Drosophila melanogaster: one gene and its partners. The protein of the gene in region 1 interacts with the protein of each later gene in a pairwise test. Each region holds a gene or a part of one and is shown on either strand. Other genes may lie near its edges. The genes, in order: sle, CG13526 and CG15211.

Evidence for each region.
Region 2: the proteins of sle (region 1) and CG13526 interact in a two-hybrid assay, tested with the Drosophila melanogaster proteins (one large-scale study listed by BioGRID).
Region 3: the proteins of sle (region 1) and CG15211 interact in a two-hybrid assay, tested with the Drosophila melanogaster proteins (one large-scale study listed by BioGRID).

The regions. Positions count from the first base shown.
Region 1 is NT_033777.3:10,331,115-10,343,026, forward strand, and holds sle (slender lobes), read left to right. Parts: upstream 1-2,000; 5' UTR 2,001-2,162; coding exon 2,163-2,199; intron 2,200-2,282; exon of another isoform or gene 2,283-2,375; coding exon of another isoform or gene 2,376-2,382; coding exon 2,383-2,469; intron 2,470-2,536; coding exon 2,537-6,045; intron 6,046-6,107; coding exon 6,108-6,329; intron 6,330-6,393; coding exon 6,394-6,831; 3' UTR 6,832-7,151; downstream 7,152-11,912. Other genes in the region: Bruce (BIR repeat containing ubiquitin-conjugating enzyme), read right to left, coding at 1-73; CG12818 (uncharacterized protein), read left to right, coding at 505-527, 584-683, 742-1,485; CG12592 (uncharacterized protein), read left to right, coding at 7,289-7,301, 7,362-8,932, 8,997-9,437; CG18545 (uncharacterized protein), read left to right, coding at 9,845-9,908, 9,969-10,504.
Region 2 is NT_033778.4:22,753,615-22,756,396, reverse strand, and holds CG13526 (uncharacterized protein), read right to left. Parts: upstream 1,179-2,782; 5' UTR 1,073-1,178; coding exon 608-1,072; 3' UTR 501-607; downstream 1-500.
Region 3 is NC_004354.4:10,767,224-10,779,135, reverse strand, and holds CG15211 (uncharacterized protein), read right to left. Parts: upstream 6,596-11,912; 5' UTR 6,510-6,595; intron 6,369-6,509; exon of another isoform or gene 6,339-6,368; 5' UTR 6,138-6,338; coding exon 5,970-6,137; intron 1,176-5,969; coding exon 1,008-1,175; intron 926-1,007; coding exon 728-925; 3' UTR 155-727; downstream 1-154. Other genes in the region: BTBD9 (BTB (POZ) domain containing 9), read right to left, coding at 8,064-8,573, 8,635-9,081, 9,150-9,788, 9,843-10,415; Atg8a (Autophagy-related 8a), read left to right, coding at 11,066-11,155.

The DNA of each region.
Region 1 (11,912 bases):
TATTACAGTCGCCCAAATCCAAGTAGCCATCTTGCTTGAGGACGCGCTGCTGGTGATGCTGCTCCGTGGCCATTCCGGAGGTGCGCCGCGGCAATTTGTGTGCTCCTGCTTCTGGTTGGGATACTCTGTAGGGGTTTTTTTCGCAATTCAATTCGGAAAATAATTGCTGCGAAACAGAGCTCTGTGCTTCTTCTTCTTCTTCGTTTTGCCCCTTCTTCTTCTACCTTCTGACAGATGTGTTTGCCATTCGATTGCTAGCAATCGCCTGTGAATGCCAAAAATTAATCGAGTGCCCAGGGGGCGCGCGAGTGTAAGTGGGTGTGGCCACGTCAAGTCAGCAAAGTAAACACATTTAAAAAATAAATAAAATAGTCCACTTTTCAAGCTAGAGAGCAACAAATTCGGCCTACTGCGCTTAGGGCATTCGATAATTCAGAGCCATTCGATAGACAGAGATGCCTATCGAGTAATCGATTACAGGAATGTCAACAAAGTGGAAATAAAATGAATATTTTACCAAAAAAACGGTAAGTTTTATACTGATTCTAAAGATACCTCTCATCAATTCACGTGTATTTCTTAGCTGGCATGTGCGTACCAAGGAGAACATTGCCCGCGTGCGCCGGGATCAAGCGGCTGCCGCAGCAGAAGAAAAAGTCCGGCAGGAGAAATTGGAATTTGCTGTGGGTATTGCCCAAATATCGTCAATTTAACATAGTAATGTGTACTTTTATCAAATAGGAAAGCGAGGCACGAATCAACTTCCTGCGCCGCCAATCGGGCTTGCCGGAGAAGGCCTCCAAGGAATCTCGAGAGGAGTCGCAATGCAGTACTGAAACAACCAAAGGGGTGGATCTCTTTGCCGACTACAAGGCGAGAGTGAAGACCACTAACAAAGACTTGGAAAAGGAGCAAAAGGAGGAGCAGGAGAAGTATGAGAAGCAGATCGGCTACCTCACCTACTTGGGCCAGGACACCAATGAAGCTTTGAAAGTGCGCAGCTGGTACGAGTTAGCCCCCAAAAGACCAGAAGTTGGGGATCCCACAGCTACTGAAACTCATCATAAGCAAAAGCTAGCCCACGATCCTCTGACCCTAATTAATGCTTTGTTGCCGCCAGAAAAAAAGGATCCCAAAAAGGCCACAAAAAGAATTCGCGAAAGGACACCCGCGCCTTCTCAGGAACCTTCAATACCCCACAAGGACAAGAAATCCAAGAAAGATAAGAAGAAGCACAAGAGCAAAAATGGTTCAAGGGAGACCCTTTTGGCCGAGGAACGCATAAAACGAGAAAAGCTCGAGACGCTAAGAAGGGAGCGCATGCGACGGGAAACAGCGGAACGCCAGCGTTCCGAGGCTCTGTTCGCACCCAAGGAGCTGCCGGTGGCTGCCAGTGCCGAATCCACGCCGGCTTCGACGCCTAAGGTTGTCCAAAAGTACAACAGTCAGTTTAATCCGGAGTTAGCAAAGCAAAATATGCTCTAGCCATTAATTATGTTTTCAACTTAATGTTAACAGCCTGATTATGAATATAATCACTAAGCAAATAAATAGAAATTACACTTTATTATTGAATTGTCTAAAAAAATACTCTTTGTTTAAATATAAAAATGATTATCGTCAAATATTTGTACTTTTATAAATACATACATATGTATAAACACATCGCTTTAATATCCAGTTATTCAACCGTTACAAGAAGTCTTGGCGGTTTGGTCATGGTTTAAATTTAGATTTCGCGATAATTCCGCTTAAATGATATCGGCTACTTTATCGGTGCCGAAACAGGCCAATGCTGCACAGCGTCTAAATCGGACGAACTATTAAGTGATTTTGCACTTAAAATAAGAAGATAGAAACCTAATTTCGAATAAAATTTAATTTAAGATAATTCATCAGTTGAAGGTGATATTAGGCTATCGACACATTGAATTTAGCCCCGAAACTATACTAGTTTGAATTCTAACGGCCGCCACACAAATGCTCAACAGCCGGCTGCAGTGTTAGAGAACGTCGCAGTTTGCGGCACATGTGAAAATCACTTTTTGGCTCGGCGTCTTGGCGTCTTCGTTTCTATTTCTTTGTTATAATTTGCATGCGGGTTCGAAACTCTCTTGATTTCAATTAATTGTTGTGTGCGAAAAACAAAAGAGCCGGGCCAAATGGATGATAATACGGAGAACACAGATGGAAAGCGCGGTGAGTGAATCTAAGCGTGCTGTGCTGAAAAAGCAACGGGACAAGTAAACCGGCGCTCCAAAGTCAGCCATTAACGGGGGGCTCCTATCTCAAGCAGGTCGCCTTTGCATTCGATCGAATAAAATTTATTCTTACACATTATTCATTTTTTCGTTTATCCGTTTAATCCAATAAATATGGTAGTGACCCGGGCTAGAACTCGTCGCTTGTCCCTTCTGGAAACGGACAGTCGTCCGAGCACTCCGCAGTTGGATACGGTTGCGGAACTCGGTAAGTTGTGGCCCAACTCGGATCCCGGTTGTTTCAAGTCTAAGAATATTATTTCTCGCTTCAAAAGGTACCGCTTCGCCACGTGCCACACGTCGCACACGTCTGAACTCGTCCACTTTAGATGTGAGGACTCCAACACGAACCAGGCGCGCATCCTTGGCACGCGGTGAAACTCCCGAGCCGACGACGCCCTCTTCCGTGAAAAGGACAGCTCGCACGCCAGCTAAAAACACCAGATCTGTGCGCCAACAGCTTACACTAACAGAGGAACCTGAGGAAAATGAGGTCAAGCAGGAAAAGCCCAGCCCCAGTCCAAGCCCTGTGCCCAAAGAGGGCAAGGGAAAGGCACAGCGGAAGCCCAGTGTCAGTCCGAGTCCAGGGCGAACACTCACACCCAATCAGCAGAGTGATGAGAAACGAGTGACGCGTTCAATGTCTCAGACTCCACCAATGCCCACTCGTTCGTCCAGTAATACGCCTCGTGATCTTAACGATTCACCCAAAGTTGAGCAAAAAGCTAAACCCAATATTAAAACCACTCCCAAAGTGGCAGTCAGGCTCGAGAAACTTTCAATGGACAAATTCTCTGGCAAGAAGATGGAAAAGGCGAAGCCATTGATTGTACCGGATGAACTCAAGGATAATGGAGTTGTTGAGGAGCAAAATAAATCTATCACTGAAGCCCATTCACAGGCACCAGAAACACACGAATCAGCCCAACCTGACAAGGATGCTGGCAAACAATCATTCCTGAAGTCATTTACTACACTTTCGAAAATTCAAGGTTCAAGTAAAGCTCTTCACCCTGATGAGAGCGCAGATACAATTACAAAAATAACTCCAACCTCGACATCCAAGAAAATTGAAGAAAACATGGATGATGTGTTTGAAACACTACGCGTCGAGTCCCCCAAAGTTGAAAGAAAAATCGAGACTCTGCAGAAAGTCCATACTGTTGGCACTCCTGAAATTAAAGAAAAAGACGAGCCCGTTGGGGTAGACAATGAAATTAAAACGAAAACCGAAACTCCCCAGAAGATTGAACCCCCTATAATTGAAAGCAAAGTAGAAACTCAGCAACTGATTGATCATCCTCAAATAGAAAAGAAAAGAGATACTCCACAAAACGTTTCTACTGTTGACTTAATGGACACAAGCCCAGAAAAAGATGAGTCCATGGAGGACCAAGAGTTTTTGGATGCAGAAGATTCGATTGTTCAGTTAGAGCCACAAACCGATGAGCCAGTAGAGAAACCAAAAGAACTGGAGTTTGTAGACCTCGACGACGATGAGCCGGTATTTCCGTCGGAAGCTCCAAAATATGTCGAAGACAGTAAGGAAGTACACCCAGATGATTCAATGGATGATGACAAGCAAAACAAAATCGATGTTACCGAGGTTATACATCTGCCCAGCATAAGAGCTCGTGCTGTGCGTTCTCCTGCTGTGGAGCAAAAAAAATCGGTGGACTTCAACAACGACACTGATGACTTAGAGGTAGAAAAGAAACGGTTTCCCAAGACTCCAGGACGTGAGAAGGTGCCAGTTTGTCGCATTCTAACCCCCAAGCCGGAGACGCCCTTAAAACTGGCTCTGCAAAAGGGTCGTAATAGTTCCACACCAATATTAAAAGATCAGGAACGTGGCCTGTCCAACAGCACGGAGGAATTGCATCCAGCACCTCCTCAAATTGATGCTATCAAGCCATTCGATGAGCTGGAATCAAAGAATGCTAAGGATGAGATGGTGGAACAATCACCCATGTCAAAGCAAAAGGCTGAGAATAAAATCCTGGCTCGTCTAGAAAGCTTTGAGGAAGATGTTGAAGACCACGGGAATGAAGAAGAAAACGAGGAGGAGCACGAAGAAGACAAATCCATTTCCGAATTTGTGGACCTAGAAGCTGAAGATGCTGGGAAAGATTACATGTCTGGAGATTCGATGGACAGTTCGCTTCGCCGGGAAATGGAGGAGAATGAAATTCCAATCGATGGGGAGTCCGTTGGCAGTAAAGATACTGAGGAGTCTACCCCAGAAGAATCTGATGGCGACGATTCGTTTATTGTATCGGACAACGAAGACGAGGAAGATTTAGGACAGCTTTGCTACTCCTCTGGCGAGGATGAAATTGAAGACGCTGAAGAATCTGAACAAGCTGAGAGGTCTAGCGTGAAACGTCGCCGCATTATTATTGCGAGCCCCAGTGATGAAGAACATGATGGAAAAGTTCAGAGCAATGACGACTCAAGTGAGAACAAAACAGAGAAGCCCAAAAACCAAAGTAACTGCTCATCCAATGCCAGTAAATTGAGCGAAGCGGCCCAACTGTTAAACGTCAGTGAGGAAAAATCTTCCATCTCGGAAACCGAGCTGGAAAGATCTCGCCAAGTCGCTCTCAACGAACTGAACAAATCGGAGCGGTTTAACAAGACAGAAACGCAACTCGATATCAGCGTCATGGAGGTAGACTCCTCGGATCACGACGAGGAGGAGAAGACAGAGAAGGTTGGAGCCAAGAACAACAGAAGCCTGTACGAAATCGTGGATTCTGATGACGGGGAAGAGCAAGATCAAGACCAAAGTGATGCAGATAAACCAGCTGAAAGCGAAAACCATTCCGAAATTAAAAAATCTACATCTTTCATGGACCAAATGTCTGGAGCCAAAGGCAACAAAAGCGTATACGAAATAATGGATTCTTATGAAACTGAAGACCCTAAGGAGGCTGGTAAAAACGAGGAGTCTGATAAGGACAAACCGGCCGAAAACGGGAAGTCTGATAAAGACAAACAAGCCGAAACCGAGATGTCTGATGAAGATAAACCATCTGAAATCAAAAGCCCTTCCACAATCAAAAAATCCATAATTTCAACTGCGGATGAAGAAGCTCTGCTCGCCGAATTGGCCTCTAGTGATCTAAGCCATTTGGAAAAAATGTTTAACCCTCTACAGAAATCCCGCCGCCAGTCCTTACATGTCCCCAGTCCCGAGCTGGCAGCCAAGAATCCCAAACTGAGACGCCGTAGTGAACGGGTTGAAGTTGGCAATGACTTCTGCCCCTCGCAGTCCTTTGTTGACATGGTGGCCGAGAAAAAGAGGCAGAAAAACAAGCGCAAGCGCCTGTCGAAAAGCCTATCAGGCGCACCAGAGGATCTTGAGGAAATGGAGATTAAGCACGAGCGCAAGCGCCTTAAGAGCTCACATGGTGCTTCCACGGATTCAATGGAGGAGGACAACGAAAACGAAACAATGACTGTCGCCGAGGAACATCACAGCGACGGGGAAGTCTCGAATGGTGAAGTTCCTATTGAAGAAAAGCCCACTACTTCATCTGAGAAACCATCTGCGTCGGAATTACCTGAAGAAGAAGAAACTGTCGCCGTTGAGGAGCTTCTCATGGAGAAGCCGAAAACTTGCGATTCACCGCGATCCGAGGAAAGACCGACAGAAATTGTGACTTCAAAACCGAAGGGTATGGCGCCGGTCAAGGTGGAGAAGACTGCCGAATATTACTTGGCATACTGTCACAACCTCCTGGAAGCTGCCAACGAGGCTAAGTTAAAGGAAAAGAAAGAGGTCAGTTTCTTAAATAAAAAATCTCCTTTACGATTCACACTAAATTCGCTTATATTTTATAGCATCTTGCCAGCGGAGCAAAGCAAAAGAAGCCAAAGCGAATTGCTGCGCAAGCGCCATCCAAGCTCCTGGGCACCATCGGCTCAGAATCGGAAACCAACACAGCGAAATCGTCCAAGCAGCCACCGGCGCTGAAGAAGGATGTAAAGCGCCTACAGGCAGCGCGCCAGGCTGTGAGTCATGCTGTTAATCTTCTGGCGCCACCAAAAGCCACCGAAGCAGAGGTAAGCGTTAGTTAGTCGCCTACAAATAATAAGAGTATAACCAAAAGTCCTTGCTCCTCCGCAGCCACGCACGCTCTCGCGCAAATTGTCGCCACAGCCGCCAGTGGTGGACAAGAAATCAGCCAAACAGAAGAAGGGGAAGAAGAAGCAAAAGCCCCAGGAGGCATCACCGCTAAAGAGTTCCGATGAGGAGAACCACGGCCATCGTATTCGAACAAATGCTGGCTACGTGACGGTGGTCGATGAGCCGCCCACTAAAGTTCCCAAAATCGAGCTGATTAAGACAAGTTCGGGCATGGTTCGAGTTGAGCCGTGCACACCCAAACAGAAGTATTTCCGCGAGCTGCCGCCCACACCGAAAATGCATGGGTTCCGCGAGGAGCCAGGACCCTCCGGGATGTCAAGGAAGCGGGCCAAGCACGCAGCACCAAAGGTCGAACACAATTCCGCCAAACAGGCGGCGCTGCGCTTCAAGGAGCAGATCTTTGCTCGCAGATCTTAGGATACATTACATTTAGAGAAAAATTAGTGGAAATGTTAAGTGTACACAATGCATACTTCAGTTTTTGTTTCTTTTCATTAGCATTTCCCCGATTGAATTTGATTCTATTATTTGTTCTATTGGTTATTTGTTACGCAAGCCCTTGCTCTTTGCCATATATTATTATTTTGTTCAATTGCACATCACTTAACCACACTTAACGCTAGCAAGTTGGTTGTTGATCCAATCAAGATATGAAATCAATTAAGAAATTTTCGAACTTGTCCCCTTTTTTTTTGAGCATCTGAGAAACAGAAAATAAAGCCTACCCATACAAATACAAAATGAAGGAGGAAACTTTTTATTACGGGTCCGAACATTCGGGGACAATTCTCTGGAAAAGTAGGCTGGCGGTTGCCTGTCCGTCATGTTGCACAAAACTTTTCATATTTTTTCACATATGGCTCACCATTTCGCAATGCGAACAATTTGTAAGTAAAATGCTATTCTATTCTCAAGATTTAGTATCCTATTTCGATTTTTGCTTTTAGTCAATGCAAAAATTGGCGATGCAGCCTACATCCAGGATGAACTGTCTTCGTCGCTATCCTCTTCTGTGGCCAGCAAATTCAAAGAATTTTCGAAGCGCAAACGCATTTCGGACAGTTTCTCGGATCTTTCAGAAGAACTTGAGAGAATAGGTTTGCGACAGATGAGGAAACGCATTAAGTTGGAGAAATCGTTCGAAAGAACTCCCAAAAAGAAGGTCCAGACCAAGAAGCATTTACCACCGGTTCGGAAGAAGGATAGCGTGAAACGTCGCCGCATTATTATAGCGAGCCCCAGTGATGAAGAACATGATGGAAAAGTTCAGACCAATGACGACTCAAGTGAGAACAAAACAGAGAAGCCCAAAAACCAAAGTAACTGCTCATCCAATGCCAGTAAATTGAGCGAAGCGGCCCAACTGTTAAACGTCAGTGAGGAAAAATCTTCCATCTCGGAAACCGAGCTGGAAAGATCTCGCCAAGTCGCTCTCAACGAACTGAACAAATCGGAGCGGTTTAACAAGACAGAAACGCAACTCGATATCAGCGTCATGGAGGTAGACTCCTCGGATCACGACGAGGAGGAGAAGACAGAGAAGGTTGGAGCCAAGAACAACAGAAGCCTGTACGAAATCGTGGATTCTGATGACGAGGAAGAGCAAGATCAAGACCAAAGTGATGCAGCTAAACCAGCTGAAAGCGAAAACCATTCCGAAATTAAAAAATCTACATCTTTCATGGACCAAATGTCTGGAGCCAAAGGCAACAAAAGCGTATACGAAATAATGGATTCTTATGAAACTGAAGACCCTAAGGAGGCTGGTAAAAACGAGGAGTCTGATAAGGACAAACCGGCCGAAAACGGGAAGTCTGATAAAGACAAACAAGCCGAAACCGAGATGTCTGATGAAGATAAACCATCTGAAATCAAAAGCCCTTCCACAATCAAAAAATCCATAATTTCAACTGCGGATGAAGAAGCTCTGCTCGCCGAATTGGCCTCTAGTGATCTAAGCCATTTGGAAAAAATGTTTAACCCTCTACAGAAATCCCGCCGCCAGTCCTTACATGTCCCCAGTCCCGAGCTGGCAGCCAAGAATCCCAAACTGAGACGCCGTAGTGAACGGGTTGAAGTTGGCAATGACTTCTGCCCCTCGCAGTCCTTTGTTGACATGGTGGCCGAGAAAAAGAGGCAGAAAAACAAGCGCAAGCGCCTGTCGAAAAGCCTATCAGGCGCACCAGAGGATCTTGAGGAAATGGAGATTAAGCACGAGCGCAAGCGCCTTAAGAGCTCACATGGTGCTTCCACGGATTCAATGGAGGAGGACAACGAAAACGAAACAATGACTGTCGCCGAGGAACATCACAGCGACGGGGAAGTCTCGAATGGTGAAGTTCCTATTGAAGAAAAGCCCACTACTTCATCTGAGAAACCATCTGCGTCGGAATTACCTGAAGAAGGTAATTCAGCGCCACCGGCGCTGAAGAAGGATGTAAAGCGCCTACAGGCAGCGCGCCAGGCTGTGAGTCATGCTGTTAATCTTCTGGCGCCACCAAAAGCCACCGAAGCAGAGGTAAGCGTTAGTTAGTCGCCTACAAATAATAAGAGTATAACCAAAAGTCCTTGCTCCTCCGCAGCCACGTACGCTCTCGCGCAAATTGTCGCCACAGCCGCCAGTGGTGGACAAGAAATCAGCCAAACAGAAGAAGAAGGGGAAGAAGAAGCAAAAGCCCCAGGAGGCATCACCGCTAAAGAGTTCCGATGAGGAGAACCACGGCCATCGTATTCGAACAAATGCTGGCTACGTGACGGTGGTCGATGAGCCGCCCACTAAAGTTCCCATAATCGAGCTGATTAAGACAAGTTCGGGCATGGTTCGAGTTGAGCCGTGCACACCCAAACAGAAGTATTTCCGCGAGCTGCCGCCCACACCGAAAATGCATGGGTTCCGCGAGGAGCCAGGACCCTCCGGGATGTCAAGGAAGCGGGCCAAGCACGCAGCACCAAAGGTCGAACACAATTCCGCCAAACAGGCGGCGCTGCGCTTCAAGGAGCAGATCTTTGCTCGCAGATCTTAGGATACATTACATTTAGAGAAAAATTAGTGGAAATGTTAAGTGTACACAATGCATACTTCAGTTTTTGTTTCTTTTCATTAGCATTTCCCCGATTGAATTTGATTCTATTATTTGTTCTATTGGTTATTTGTTACGCAAGCCCTTGCTCTTTGCCATATATTATTATTTTGTTCAATTGCACATCACTTAACCACACTTAACGCTAGCAAGTTGGTTGTTGATCCAATCAAGATATGAAATCAATTAAGAAATTTTCGAACTTGTCCCATTTTTTTTTTGAGCATCTGAGAAATAGAAAATAAAGCCTACCCATACAAATACAAAATGAAGGAGGAAACTTTTTATTAGGGGTCCGAACATTCGGGGACAATTCTCTGGAAAAGTAGGCTGGCGGTTGCCTGTCCGTCATGTTGCACAAAACTTTTCATATTTTTTCACATATGGCTCACCATTTCGCAATGCGAACAATTTGTAAGTAAAATGCTATTCTATTCTCAAGATTTAGTATCCTATTTCGATTTTTGCTTTTAGTCAATGCAAAAATTGGCGATGCAGCCTACATCCAGGATGAACTGTCTTCGTCGCTATCCTCTTCTGTGGCCAGCAAATTCAAAGAATTTTCGAAGCGCAAACGCATTTCGGACAGTTTCTCGGATCTTTCAGAAGAACTTGAGAGAATAGGTTTGCGACAGATGAGGAAACGCATTAAGTTGGAGAAATCGTTCGAAAGAACACCCAAAAAGAAGGTCCAGACCAAGAAGCATTTACCACCGGTTCGGAAGAAGGATACATCTGGAAATCGTGGCTCATTTGGCTTGCGACAAATGAGGAAGCGCGTTAAGTTGGAGGACACCGACGAGAAGTCTTACAAAAGATCTCCCAAAATGAAGGTCATATCAATGAAGCAGTCACCTCTGAAGGGACCGGCTCCAATCATATTGCGTAAAAAGTTTGGAATCTACGTAGCTAGTGTTTGGACTAGTGCTGGCTACGTCTTGGTGATCCGGGAACCGTCTGCAGTTGAAACAACCAATAGCAGTTCGGTCAGTTGGCTTGGGGAGCAGTAATTTTACCACAATATGAATACTGAATATTTAGTCTGTATTATATATATAGTAAAATTGTTGTTTTATTTATGAGTCGAACTAATGTCCCGTCAGTTGACTAAGGACAACGCCAAGAAATAAAAAATAGTTTTAGGAGAAATAGTTTCACGACTTTATTCTTTGGATCTCAGCTTAAGACTAAAAATCAAATGCAAATTGGATTGAGGAGAAGCCTCAGTATTTGAACAATATTTGTATTTCGGGAGAGCCTCGCTCTTGGGTTCTTAAGATTAGGTAGCGTTGAAAGAGGGCAGTCAAATCTGCTTAGGTCAGGCTTTAGGATGTTTACAAGAACGGCTGCGCTGCCAAAGATAAACGAATGCTGCGCAGCTGGGATACGTTATGGAAAATTACTAGAGTGCATTACTGATTTCTTTGAAATAATGGAAGTGGCTGGTTTGGACCACCCAAATACGTCACTCCCCTTCCCTTAAAGAGAAGCCTATACTTGGGCTGGGATTGATGGATATAGTGTGGGAAATGGAGTTTCTTCTATTTCTGTTTGTTGTGGTGTGTTTTGATTTTGATTTTTTCTTATTTTAAGTTTTGCATACAGCATCATAAATGGTTTAAATGATACATATCTTAAATATGAGTACAACAAAATTAGTGCGATTATTACAATGATCATTTGTATGTAAAGTGTAATATTGTTCTCTGAAATCATCTCAACAATGTCGTTGTGTTTTACAATTTTTATTTTTGTTATATTAAGTGGTGTGTATAGTGATGTCAAATCTATTTCTGGTTCTAACAGATTTTCACTTAAAATTATATTATTGATTTCTATTTTGCATTGCGTTACTCTTATCATTTTGTTTCCTTCTATTTTTATTTTATTAATTGAATTTTGGCAATTTTGGTTAAGAATTGTTTGGGTTAAGTTCCAGGTTACAATTGTGTTTGGTTCTATGTATTTTATTATTTCGTTCGTGTGTACTGGCTTAAAATTACAAATTGGATTTAAGTGTTTAATAATATTGGTGACACATTCATTTTTTACTTCTTTATTTTCGGTATTATAAACTTTATTTTCTTTTTCAAAATATGATTGTGTGTCTGTGTAATCTAGCTGATAGCCGTTGGAGTCTGGGTAAGGAATTATTTTAATTGTGCTTATTAGTGAAAGGTAAATGGGTATGTGGGATATGATTAATACTTGGTTATCATTGTAGTTAATCCAAGTGGATGTTTTAATGTTCAAAATGTTTTGGCTGTTCACATTTTCAAGTTTGTCGTAGTTTAGTAATTTGGGGTTAAACAGTCCAAGTCTGGAAAGCTGCATAGCCATTTCCAAATCTTCTATGTATTCCGTCATTTATCAATCGTATGGCGTCGTTGAGTTCATGTAATTTTACTGAGTTATGGA
Region 2 (2,782 bases), on another chromosome or scaffold:
CGTTCCTTCTGGATAAGCTCCTTCTTCATCTTCTAGCTCTTCCCCTACTGTGAGCCCCGCCTGCAGCGCCCAGCCAACTGGCAGCTGACTTGTTTACACAACACTTTGCATGTGTGTTTGTGTGTGCGGCCATTGCACATGTGTCCATGTCCATGTCCTGCAGGGGGAGTGGCAGGGGCGGTGGCGAAAGGATGGCAAAGTCAGCAAGCAAAGCTCTGGCGGCTTAATGGACGAAACGTGCTGTTGAATTAATTTCTGGCTTTATGCTCTCAATTTTTTCCTTCCGTTTTCCATTCAGCCGCCTTCGTTTTTTCTGCCAGCAGGCAGAAATATATGTACGTCTATGTATTGAATTTCAATTTTTAAGTACTTCAAACATTAAGCCCTACTAAAAACAAAATAAAGAACATTTTAAATAAAAAAAAAACCATTATAAAATTAAACGAAAATTCATAAACACTGACTGGCTTTTTACACAAAAATTAAATATATTAATAATTATGAAAACAATAATTTTTATTATAATCTACAATAGATTTGTGAGATACATTTTTGTTTGTTTGCTTACTCTGTATGAAAAATGTTCAATTTTGCTTGCTGTCTCAGCTCAAATGGGGCTGTGCATAAAGCCTACGAAATCGCGCAAGCTTATGCGACCATCGCCATCCATATCGACTGCTTGGCAGATATCCTTAATATCGTCATCGGTTACGACTTCGCCCAGGACGACCATAATGGCACGAACATCCTGGACGGTGACGTAGCCGTCGCGATCGCGGTCAATCATGTTAAAGGTCCGGCATAGACTTTTATCACTATCCACATTGGCCATTCGGGGCGCCATCATGCGTATAAATTTTTTCAAGTCCAGCCTCTCCTCGTCTCTCACAGCCACCGAATGGATGAGATCGTACAACTCTGCCTCAGTGATTTCGTAACCCACTGATATTAGAGCCAGTCGCACCTCGTTGGCTGATAATGTGCCATTCGAGTCCAGATCATACTTTTCAAAGGCATCCCTCAGTTCGTCGATATGCTCATTCGTCAGCTCATTGCCGGAAAAAGAAGGCATGGCACTAGCAAATAAAACCCTAAAGTAGTTCAGGAAAATCAGGAATACAAAAAAAAAAAGGAGAAATGGGGAAAAACCGATGTGTATGAAAACTGACAATCAACTCAACTCAACCGAACTCAAACTCTGTTCTCGATGGCTAATAAAACACTTAGGCAAGCAATTGTTGTTGTTGCGGTCACAAACTTTTCCGGAATAATAATGCATCATATACTCGTACAAGGGGCAATAAAGGGAAAAAATAAGGAAAGCAGAGATGCTGAAGCATGCAACGTTTGGAGAACCATCCATCAATTTGTCAATTCAGCGCTTGCCTTTGAGTGGCCGTCCATGGGACAGGAATGATGTTAGATGACGATGATGATGATGATGGGCAGTAGTTGTGCTGTGGAGTGCTGGCCATAAAAAATCAAGCGGGCATATAAATTGAAAGGATGCTCTTGTACTAGCTGAAAGGATTTTTTGTAATCCCTGTCCAGTTTCAAGTAATTATATTGAATAAATGCTATCATAGTTGGACTTTTAAATTTCAACCATACTGTGAAATATTTTTGAGAAAATCCTAATTAAGACTGCTGTAATTTCAGCAAATAAGAAAACATTTATTTAACCACACCTTCTGTCTAATGCTTCTACCTCCGCCTCCTCAAATCCCTACAATCGCAGGGGACGCGAAGCCACTGACTTGTCAGGGATTTCTAGGCTTAGAAATAAGTTTTCCGACAGCCCATTTGATTCATTCAACTTTGAGGCCTGCTCTTGTTGCGTTCATTCCCCCAAAGACTTTGAGCCGGATGATAAGCAAATGAAATGTTGTCGCCGTCCCACATGACGAATGATTAATGACACGAATGATACATTTCTCCCGGGGGCAAAAACCACGCGCCACGGCCAGTCAAAAGTTTAAACCCAACTTTAACCATGGCAGGCACTTTTTCACTCGGTGTCACGGTGCCTGGCTGCAAATTTCGCTAGTCAGAGCTTAGTGGGGGATACTGTTTGCAAAGTGACTGAGTCCGGAGTCTTCTTCTGCTACATTAGCCTACTTCCTCCGCTCCACAAGCAACAGCCCACTCAGGATTCCTCTGATGCTGCAACAACTTGTGCTTGTGTATTTGCTTAAGCCGAGCTCGCTTTCCTGTTTCCTTCCGCTGCCTTTCCACTTTTCCACATTCCCACCGCTTCCATGAAAAGGGGGTGGGGGCGCAATGGCGAAGGGGCGCTGGGGCGGGGTCTCAGGAAAATTGATTTTGAAATAGTTGGTCTGCCTTTTTAAATTTGATTGACGTTATTACATTACATAACATCGCACACTAAGAGGAAAGGCGAAGCAGCTGGCTTAAGTTATTCATCCATTTAGCCCCACTTAGGGGCGGGGGATGGTGGTGGTTGGCAGCTAGGGGCGGCGGGTGATTGTGACGGGCAACAACAAGTGGAAAACTGTCATTATATTTGAGTTATTGATGGTTTTTTTTTTTCAAAATCATTTTGCAACAATGTTGCTGCTACCCAACCGCACCGACACACTCACACACACACCAACACACTTTAGTCACACGCTGACAGGATCTACTCCCCCTCAACCGCCACCCCCTTACCCTTCCGCACACACACACACACACTGTTACATTTACGCTTAGTTAAACGCATGGCTGTGGCTTGTTAACGCCGACAAGCGCAAAAGTTTGCCGTTCGCCAAATGCTTGCGAT
Region 3 (11,912 bases), on another chromosome or scaffold:
GATGGCGTAGCACCAACCGAACACACTGTCCACCTCTTCGTCGAGGAGGACTTGCTCCCACGAGCCCAGTAGTAAATTAATAATTTGATTTGATAGGTCGCCCCACATGGTGGTCGGTCCCTCATTTCAGATTGTGTTCACTTTCGCAGTGGTTGAGAAAATACAAATAATATATTGAACTCAAATCTTTGTTGTGCGCTCTTTGTTTGTTTTCATCATCGCGTGTTTTTTGCTTTTTGGTGCATGTGTGTGTACGGATTAGGGTGGGCCACATCTAACTAGGATCTAATTATCCTCTCAACAAGCTAAGCTAGTCGTTATATTCAACTATATGTGAAGGACAAACAAAAAAAATTTAATTAATTTACGTATATTATTTTGTCTCGATTGAATACATTTCAAAAAAATTACAAAATCATTATATGTACGCCATGAAATGATAAAAGGTTATGTACTATATGGGCTGCCCACCCTACTCGTTTTCGTAGATATGGTCTTGTGCGGGTGGATTTAAGACTTAAACGTTAGTTAGCCATTTAAATAAAAATAACATTAAAAACAGAAAGCCATGTCGCTTTCCATTGTCAATCTGCTGCATACGTTAATTAACAACAAAAAACAAAAGTACAAAAAAAAGAGGCAAAATTACAAGTACTCGATCTGCACTTATTCTGTAAACAATTAGAAATAACTCTAGACTAAGATCCAGTCACTGAGTTGGCTGCACTTAGTGGGTAGCCCCGGACCTGTGGGCCAGGAACAGGAAGTACGTGCCCGCCGCGTAGGCCAGGAAATTGAAGAGTCCAAAGACACCGGCGGCGGTATTCGAACCGGAACCCTTGCCCGTGGCATCCGACCATCTGGCCAGCTGGACGATGAATCCGATGAAGTACAGCAGCGTCAGCACAGCGGTGGTGATCAGCTCCTGTTGGGCAAAACAAAGTAGCAGTTGGGTGGGTTAGTTCATACTAATGATCCAGAGCAGTTAGTTGCCATTTGTCACTCACCGAGAATATCCAGTTGACGGCCACGTTGAGGGCCTCGCGAATGCCCAGGAAATAGGCGGCGATCAGCAGAATGTTGATGATGAACGAGATGACGATGACGAACATGAAGAACGAGGTGGCCGAGGCCAGTGGAGGAGCTGCCAGGGCCATGCAGATGATGCCCAGCACCTGGTGTGTATAAAAAGATGGGTAAATGTGTAAGTGTACAAGGTCGCAGTAGAAGCAATAATATACGAGTAGTTTTAAGATTCAAGCGCCATCTGTCGCATTAAATCGTAATTGTGCAGTTTTATGCAATGTCTATTTAGGGTAAAGTTGAATGCATATTTGAGATGTATAGATTGCATAGCATCTTATATTATTAGTTGTAATACATATATGTATAGTCACCCAGATCGTGATCTTCCTCCAATTGAGAGGCGCCTCTTCAAGGTCGTGATTTCGAATCTGGAGTGAGCATGTCGTGATGTCACCTTCAATTGAATGCACGCCATGAAAAATTAGAGGCTGTGCTCAGAATGTCGCCTTGTTCTCCAGCTAATTAAGCGGTGAATTCAAAGAATGCCACTGCACAGATACATAGATACATATGTACATAGATACATATGTAGCTCAGATTTATTTGGAAATGTGCTTGTAGTAAAATGGCTCAGAAACAATTAGGTACTCCATTTTACTCAACTTAACTTAAGTTTATGTCATATTTCAAACAAACTGAGGTAACAGTATCCCGTATCTATGAATGACTCAGTATATATTACCAATAACTTGTTAATATATGTATACTGAACTATCTGTAAGTCATTTTCGAGAACCTTATCGCATTTCAAGCAAATTCGCAGGGCGATTTCGTGAGTTAGGAACACTAAGATCATAAAGCTGGATGACAGGTGCCGATGATGACACACATTCGTGGTTGTTTTAGGCAATTAAATGGCAATAAGCTTTTGGCGACACAGCAACAAAATAAGAAATCAAACAGGTGTGCGCAGTCAGTCGACTTGAGCATTGTGTTTTTGGCTAAAACAAAAGGTACACGAAAAGTGAAAGCTGAAAGTTGTAGCCCAGGCCAAAAGCGACCTGTTGATAGCAACATCTTGTTGTTGTCCCCTTTGTTTTTTTTTTTGTGTGTGTTTCTTATTTGCTATCTGGTAAACAATTAACTGCACAGCAGCCGCATATCAAAGGTTGATTGAACTGTCAGCGATTTGTTGAGATTTGTTGATCTTGGATCTTGGATTCATGCATTTTCCAAATGGTGTTCGTATTCTTCATTTGACTTATATACTTTTTTTTTTAGCCTCGCACTTGTGATCCACAAATGTTGTGCGTCACTTTTCAAAAATAAAAGAGCCAGAGAGAAATTCGTCTGGGAATTATACGAATTTTATCTTTTCTAAGCATAATTTATGGCGGGCTTTTTATTTTTATTTTTACTTCTGCGTATGCATACATAAGGTATATATAACGACAAGATTGGCATATATATACACATTTGTATGTGTTAATCAGTTCTTATGTGCACGGTTGGAAAGTTCTTATAACCATATACATATAACCATAATCTTTAGTTCCATGGCAACGATCAAATTGCCTTGTGGAGCATGAAAAACTGCGTAGAGAGTTGGGTGCATCTGGGTATATCGATCGGGGCAGCAACATAATTATTTACTTTTCGAGCGAAATTCAATGACGCGAAACGCCACTGAAATGGATCGAGTTCTTGGCCTCCGATTATACGGTCTACGGTTCCTAGCCGCGTCTGCCTCGTCTGAAGTTCAATGGAAGCCACAGAAATTCTAGTGGTCGCACATAAACAACAAGATCGTTAGATTACAAACTTCCAACTACATATGTATAAATAATGTTCTTTCTTCGAAAGCTTAAAGTTTAAACAATACCTGTAAGCTAATATCCTCGCAATGTTTAACAAATATTCCAATTGTGGTGGTACAAATATATATATAGTTCGAAGTTAATGGACAACCATAACTGGATTATCTAATAGAAGGATCAATGCCCTTGAATTGTATACATACATATGTATGCCCTCCCTTTTGTTGGCTAACAATCTGTTAACAGGGCCAAGACGGAGCTTCAAAGATGAGCTCACTTTCCTGAGCGCCGTACACTTAGTCAGCGTCAATTACCTAAAATGTACCCAAGCACACAGTTTGCAAACACACACGTATTTGCATAGCCATGTGCACTTAGTGCAGTCCGTTTCGCAGCTGTAAGGCAAGACGCTAACTGAAACTTATAACTGAAAAGGGATAAGATTTGAGGTTTCAGAAAAAGTGCGCCCATAAGATAGTAGCAATATACAATTTATATTTCCGATAGTTTAAGTTAACTGCTTTCGGCTACAAGCCAAACAGCCTACGTTTATGGCATGCACTGTACATGATGCCACAACGATCGATCGCATTTTCATCAACAAACCGCCAACAAACGCCAGCATCTGTCTAAAGTGACTTTCGGCTCGAATTCCCCAGATCTCTTCGCCTCCCCCGCATTTTTGTGGTTAACAATTTCTTGAATGACACCCCGTATTTGTGTCATAATTTCCGCTTTTGGCTAAAACATTCGTATTAAAATTAAAATCCACGACAATGCTACAATGCCAAACAATAAGAATGCCGTCGGCAGCTTCCAAAATACACGTCTTACGTAATTAGGCTATTATAAAAAAAATATTCTCGAACGGCAGGGACCGCGACCAACAAAACTTAATAATAAATCGTTCTCTTTCCGAATTTGCATATACTCGTAGATATTCCGATGTGTATGTACGTATATATGTATATAGAGCACACTTGGCCATGGAATGCATATATGCTTGGGGCATCGCGTGAATATGTATGGTAAGTAAATTGAGGCAATGCTGGGTCCAAAATGCTAATTGCCAACGATAAGATACGAAAGAAGCGTTATATTTCGGGGGCTTTGTTGTTGTTGTTGTTGTTGTTGGTATGATTTGGGACCACTGGGCGGATGAGTATGTGTAATGGTCCGTGGGCAAATTAACGATCGGCAGTCAGGTGTCAGGAATCGATTGGCTTATCAGCAGGAGCATGGCTACCGAAAATATCGTCGGTCTGCTCCTCTCCGCTCGCAAACAGGTGGTCGCCACATTATCGTCCACTTTGTTCGGATAACGGTGCGTATGAGTAACGAGCGATTAGCTATGGCACTCAATATATTCGCAGAATTGTTCGAAATGAGTCACAATCGGTGAAAACAGTCAAAACTGCAGTCAAATTCGAACTATAGTACCAATAATCTAATATAATTTAGTTAAGCTCAAGAAACAAAAGTCTTAAAATAGATAGCCATGAAAGTGGTCAAGTTTCCCGCCATTTGGCCCAATTTGAATTATTTATTTAACGGGCTTAATACCTATCAATTGGCATTTGGGAAACGAGCAGCTGCAATTACGGCCCTGTTTTTGTGGCAACTCTCAAGTGGAGCACTTTTACATATTTCACACTGCGCTGAGACGACTATCAGCAGACTATCGCTTAAGGGTACCGATAAGATTAGTTGCCACAAAAATATCCCAATCGACAGGCACACCGCTAACCGAAAAAGAAAATTAACTAGCCATTGGTGAAATCAAAGCATATTTGAATGACAAGTATTTGCTTTCCTTTTTTGGTCAGATTAGTATATGAATTGGAAATAAGTCCTACCAGAACATCCGCAAATTACTTCGTCAGCCGTCAGCTAAACTAGCTTAGTCGCCTGATAATAGCCGATTTTCAGAACAGAAAATCAATATATATAAGTTAATAAACGACAGCTTATTGTGACGGTAATCATATCATCGAAGCACCCAGCACTCCTCCCATTTATCCGCTATTGATTTTCTCCGTAACAACTGACGAGCGCTTAATAATGCATTTTTCATGTGGGTCCCAAGCACTTGTCGTTATCCCTTGACCTTGTGCCCACCAAGCGTTGGCCCATTGAGAATAGAGAAATTTTTGCCTGAAAACTTTCTACACCTGAGCAGGTGATCCATCCGAGCGGTAGTTGAGTTACCCCAGTGCCCACTCATATAATTGCGAGTACCTTGTGTTGGCGTCGCATACCGATTGCATCGCCCACACTTTAACTTCATTTTGCTGCGGATTTGTGGGAAAAAAGATAGATCATACATAGCTTCGAATACCAGGCCAAATGCGTTAAGTGTTTAACGTCTGTGGAATACAAGAAGAGGGCTATGAGTTGACCACATGGCCATGGAGCTCACATGTTTGCAGTTCCTACAACTTGTCTACCCCTATCTTATCCGTCGTAAGTCTAATGAGATCCTGACATATGTACACACAAAAGGGGCAAGTGCACAACACACTTGTTGTCGGGCATATTGTATACATATTTGTGTAATTGAGTACACATCGAGGCTCTAGGGTTTCTTAAGTCTCGAGATATCTCGATAAAGAATGGTGGCGGAAGGCAAACTCTAGATAAAACCGTTCAATTTATGACGATAAGAGTGCTATGAGGAATTCTAACTTTTCTCTACAACAATTATCCAACGTATATTTTAATATTTCCCTCTGAAACTTTATGTTTCGAAGGCTCTATCAGTTTCGAGGAAATACGATAACAGCCAAATTCGGAAACTTATGTCTGAATTTAGCATTCCACAAAATAATGTATGTACATTATGGTACTTTTTCAACATAATCGCATTCCTAAGTTCTATTTAAACCGACATTTATGCATATTTTAAATCTAAGAGTTTAGAAACATGTAATGTACATAATTTTGATATGTTTGGAAATTTGGCCCAGTTTTTGGTTTCAGTTTTTAAAAGACTTCTACTCAAGTGGATCGTATTCAATAGTTTCGAAATATCATATGTTGCAATATTAAGTATTAGATTTTCATTTGTTTTATAATGAATTATAAAAATATAGTAGTGATATATCTCAGCTAGTTGTATGTACTCACAAACTCCACAATTTTGATGATGCCCGGTATGGTGCGGAAATAGTCGATGTTGAGGCGAATGGCGCTCCAGAAGCCGCCACCGCTGCCAACGGTCGGGTTCGCTCCACCTGGCGGTCCGTTCGTCGTTGTTGTTGTTGTGCGCTCGATATTGACAACGGTCTCGACCATATTGTTGCTGTTTATAGTTTGGCTTGGCTTAGTTTCAGTTTCAGTTTCAGTTTCAGTTTGGCGGGCAAGTTTACTTTATTAGCTGGGCACAACAACTATTTTTAAACACTTGTCGCGATTTTTGTCACAATAAAATAAGATGAGAAAAATAACCACCGCTTTCTATATGTTCGCTGGTCGATCGGCAGCTACCCTATATATCTATATCTGATGTATATGAACGCGTGTGACGCCCTCGCGCGAGTTACCACCCCACCCCCTAAACCCCCACGCCTCTAATTCTCAAATATATATATAGAGATATATGCCGCGTGTGGTGGGTATATTTGGGTATGTGGTGAAATGTGTGTAGTTTAGTATCTGGTAGTTAACTGTAGCTATATATCCATGAGCTGCGCTGCGATTGCTTTGGCGTTACGTTGCTTTGTCCACGGCGGCCGCTGGTCGACTGAACTGAACTGCGAGCTGAACTTGCCGCCGCTGCAGGCTAACGGTTAACCGCACGCCGCTCCGCTCCACACTAGCGCACTCACGCTCGCTCTCCCACTCCCACTCGGACTTACACTCACATTCGCGCTCTCCCAGTTAGTTAGTTAGTCAGTTGGCTATTTAGTTGCGCGCGCCCTTTGACGACGCCCCTGCAACGCCCTAAATAGAACCACCCCCCACCCCCCTTAGTTGCCACTCCCCGCTGCTTGTGGGGCAAACTAGTTTGTTGCGCCTGCGCCGCTAACTGTTATAATCGGCACAGTGGGCCAGATTGACCGTATTGTGTGATTGTGTTCATTCCAAAATAAAAGTAAAACTATTAAATAAATACAGTTGTCTAGATTTCTCAATAAAACATTTACATTTTATTAAAACCATCCGTACAAAATATGCAATATATATTATTAAATCATGTAGACAACGCGGCGTATGAGTAATATTTTCTTTTTTTTTTAGTTTTCTTCAAGAACCCACAAATTCCCGTTTGGCTAGCACTGCATTTCGCCATCTCTTTCTGATTCGCTCGCTGGATCGGCGTCCCTCTCTCTCTTCCCAACGCCCACTGTGCGTCGCAACTGGTTTAACGTTCTGATTCGACTTTTATGGCTGCCGCTGCAGCACGGCCGTGGGTCGCCTCTGATCGGAATTTCAAAACAGTGGAGCGTGTTGTGGATGTTGGGGCAACAGTGGGTGGCATGTGTGGTGCACAGTGGTCACACACGGCACAATTCGTGGTTGAAATGTGTGAGGGACTTTAAAAATTTTATAAGAAACCGATTGGTTTGCAAGTGAAACAATAAGCGGTGTTTTCATTTTTTTGGTTAGCTTTTATTTGCGTGCAATACAAACTATGACAAAATTTGCCTAATAAATAGAGCCTAATTTTTGGGCCGCTCGATGAGCCTAAAGACTACGAGTTGCGGATCAAATGGATTGATTTGGACAAGGACATGGACCGGACATAAGGCTAGACAGTACAGATTTATACTATGCGATCGGATATCGTATACAATTTTGGTTCAGCTGCTCGGAAATCGCATTCGAGTTCGCGTTAAACATGTGTGTGTGTGTGTGGTGTGTGTGTGTGGTGTGTGTGTGGGTGGGTGTGTGTGTGCATAGAATTCAGTTATATTGCTTATATAAATAACTCTGCTGCCTTGCAAACATAAGGAATTATTTTTGGATCACAATAAAATTATAAAAACATATATCTATATATATATATATGTATATACATATAGTATATAACGAAGGTAATAACGCAAAACCAATATGCAATGCACAGGTTTTGGAACCACCAAGCATTGGGGCACTGGGAAGGACTAGATAACAAGAGCAGCACGGTCTGCAAAATATAACTAAGCGCGGAGACTAACAGCTAACAGACCACAGGAGTATTTCAAGTACAAAACATTATCGGCCGCAGCGGCGATCAGCTCAGAGCGTCTCCCTGGTGTCAAGCTCAACCAATGGCGGCACTGGCTCCAACTCCGCACTCTGGCTTCTGCTCCTACTTAGGCTGGGACTGGGGTTGCTCCTTGAACTTGGACTGGTGTGGTGGCTTGCGTCTGCACTGATATTACTTGGCTGATTTTGTTCATGGTTGTTATGCGGCGACGAGGTTGCCGGGGTCAGAGGAGCCGGAAGTGCTGGCGTGCCGGGCGGGGAGAGTGCTGGCGGAGTGAGTGGGGCAACGGCCACTTCCCTTGTCTGTGGCGGCCAGTGGATGGACCTTAAAACGCTTTGGCTGCTGCTGGAGGAAGTGGAGGGACTTTCAGCATGGCCTGAAGCCAACGAGGATCCCGAGGTAGAGGCAATATTGTCATCGTCAGTCTTGGCCGTCTTCTTCTCCTTCTCCCTCTTCTCGCGCTCCTTCTCCATGTCGGCTATCTTCTTTAAGTAGTTTTTGTCCTGGGTCGGACATTCGAGGTGGACGCAGTGGAAGATCTAAGAGCAAGGAGAGCATTAGCTTATCGGACATGTTTTGTGGCGCTGCACTGCTACGTACCTCATTCGCTGTGTTGCGTGTGCCCACAATGCGGATATAGACCACTGGACGCGGAGTAAAGTGAAAGTTCTGCCAGGAGCGGGTCCTGTCGTTGCGGCGGTCCACGACCATTTGCCATTCCTTGCGGTTCGTCGAAATTTCGATGTAGAAGCTGTAGGTGCGATCATCGCAGTCCCACAGCAACAGCCTCATTGAGCCCAAATAGTAGGGTTGGCCCAAACGGACGACGATCTCGCCGCTGCCCAATTGGTGGCAAGTATATCCCGAGTCCCAGTCGTAGCGCACATAATCGCCGTTGATAAGCGCGTTGCGGGTGCGACTCACGCCGTCCGTCACAATGGCGCTCATCTCTACGGTGGCCACGTTCGTCTTGGGCGCCACAAAATGGTTAACTAAACGCGGCACCTTGGCCGTGTGCATGGCTTCCAGACCCACAACATGGAATACCTATATATTAATGGAAAGGGAAAAAGTTAAAGAATGGGGAAAGTTTGAAGAGATCACTGCTGACTTACCCGGTTTACAGTGTTCTGGGTGCCCACCAGTCGAATGAATCTGACGGGTCGTGCTTCGAAGTATAAGTATTGCCAGGAGCGGCAGTGGTAGTCGCTGTAGTCGACCACGCGATCCCAATGCTGCTGGTCGCCGGACACCTCAACGTAGTAGGAGTACGCCCGGCTGTCTCTGTCCCAGAGCAGCATGCGAATGTGATTGATCATGCAGAACGTGCCCAATTCGACCACAATGCCCGCATCTTTGCTGTCCGTAATGCAGTGGCGCGTATACCCGTTCTCCATGTCATAGGTGGTCACATCTCCATCCAGCAGCGCGTCGCGACACTCTCCCTGGATGCAGCGCGACAAAAACGTCTCCGCGGCCACGTTTTCCTCCGGCCAGAGCGCCGCCCTGTAGGGCAGCGCCTTTGAAGTGCTGCGCTCGTCGATGGCGTCGAGAATCTTGTCGGGATCCAGGATGCCCGAGGGACGCACCACCTGCAGCAGATGCTCGAGGTTCATCAGTGGCAGGCGGACATAACTAACCACGGACTTGAAGTCCACGTTGCTATTGAAGCGGCTCCACTTCCACACGGCCAAAAAGATCTGCACCTCGGGGGCGAAGAAGCAGTCACGCCGTAGTACCTCCTCCAGCGATTCCTGTAAGCATTACATACTCTTAGTGCCAACTTTACCAATTGGTTGTGAACTTACCTTGGATAGCGTATTGAAGCTGTTGTGCAGCAGCAGGTCGCCGGCATTGCGATCCATGAACATTAGGCAAACCTCGGTGAGTTCCTCTAGATTGTATAGACGCGCCGCATCAAGAATCATGCAGACATTGTCCAAGGCCAGATACTGGCGTAAATAATTCGATATGGCCATCTCCAGATCCTGGAAACCATACTGATTGGCCATGCCCAGCACATCGATGGTGGAATCCTCGTCCAATGTGGACAGCAGCAGTGTGCCCGAGTAAATGTAGCGCAGCAGCACCTTGAACGCTTCCAGCGGCACCTCAAGCGGTATTTGGCGCTGTGTGGTCTCCGCCATGCCGCCGTACAGCAGCGCCCGGAAGTATTCGCTGCGTGCCGCGAGTATGACGCGGTGGGCGGGTATGCGCTCCTCCTCGACGATGAACTCCACGTCCGCGTACTGTTCGTTCATGCAGAGGCGCGCCATGTCCGCTGAGAAGCGATCGCCCAGATCGACCACGTCGGTGTAGTCCTGCTCCATGGCGCCCTTCTTGCCGCCGCCGGACATCTTATGGTGTCCCTGGCTGCTCATCCTTCTCTTTTTTGTTTTTCTTCCGTGCGATGTGTATTTATGTGTGTAAGCAGCCAGAGGGAACAGTTGACAATTAACGTTTCGTCTCGCCTGCTGCGTCAATCCATCGATGACAGTTAGTGATATCGATAATATCGATGGCACAATAGGGATTCTTCTATTGCGGCGAAAAACTGTTATATGTGCAGTGTGACCGTAGGTGTGTATACCATTTAACGCGTACAACAACCATATCGACAGCCGTCTGCTAGCGAGCACATGAACCACATGGTTGCATCCGATAACATTTAGCGAATACATGAACCAAATGGTGTCTGTCTAATATGCCACCACTATTAGCGCGTTTCGGGTTGGTGTCTCTGCGCGCTCACTGGTCACACACGGTCAGTCTAGCCACAGCAGTTAGCGAGTGCAGTCACCACAGTGCGAGTGCTTATCGATAAAACCAGCAAGTCATCGATTTTTAGACCGAAGCGCTCTGTCAACTGCTGCGCACGGTCACTCTACACAAGTATTTCGTACCGTTTGTACGAGAAAACAGAGAAGAGAAAAACACAAGCTCAGCAACGCATCGATATTCGGCACAGTCCCAAAAGCAAACGAAGTGATAGAAGCTGCGTTTCTTAGCCAATTACCTCTTCATTGCAATCATGAAGTTCCAATACAAGGAGGAGCACGCCTTCGAGAAGCGTCGCGCCGAGGGCGACAAGATCCGTCGCAAATATCCAGACCGTGTGCCCGTAAGTACTCAAAAATATATATATAAATGCATATAGGTATAAAGAGACGTGTGTGTGTGTGTATATATGCGTGCGAGTGTGTGTGTATGTGCGAGCTTCTGTGTATGCGTTTGTTTTGCGTCGTTTTTTTTCTCGCTCTTTTTTTTTGTGTTTGCACCGAAGAAAATCAATACTGCGCATATTGGGTATTTCGATTGTTATTACAATATTATTGCACTGGCACATCAGGTGGCTGGGGAAATTTGTGCGATGGGTATTGCATAAAGTGCATTTTGCATTACTGGTGGGGGGAACAGGCGACAAGCTCTCAAAAGAAATTCAAACGAAAATTCTGCCCCCTGCATACACACATACGCACGCATACACGCGCACACAGGCACACAGATGTCGACAGGAAAAAACAAAAGCAAAAAAAGGGAGAGAACAAAGCAGCCGTTTCACTTGCTCAGCTGTTGTGATGTTGTTGTTTTCAGTGCTAGATTTCATCTGTGCCACCTCTTCCTCTCCTCTATCCCACCCTCTGGCTACACAGCAAGAAAATCGCATATATCTATCTGTCATCATAATTTAGTTACAAGCAAAGTTTTGACCACCCCGTTTTTTTTCTGTGTGTGCACCAACCAGTTGTTTTCGATTTTAATTTCGTTTGTTTGTTGGCAAAACGAGCGAGTACTGCGCATAAAAAAAGTCACTAATACTCACTAATACACACTTATACTAGCGCTGCTTGTTTTGTTTTTCGCAAATACACAAAGTG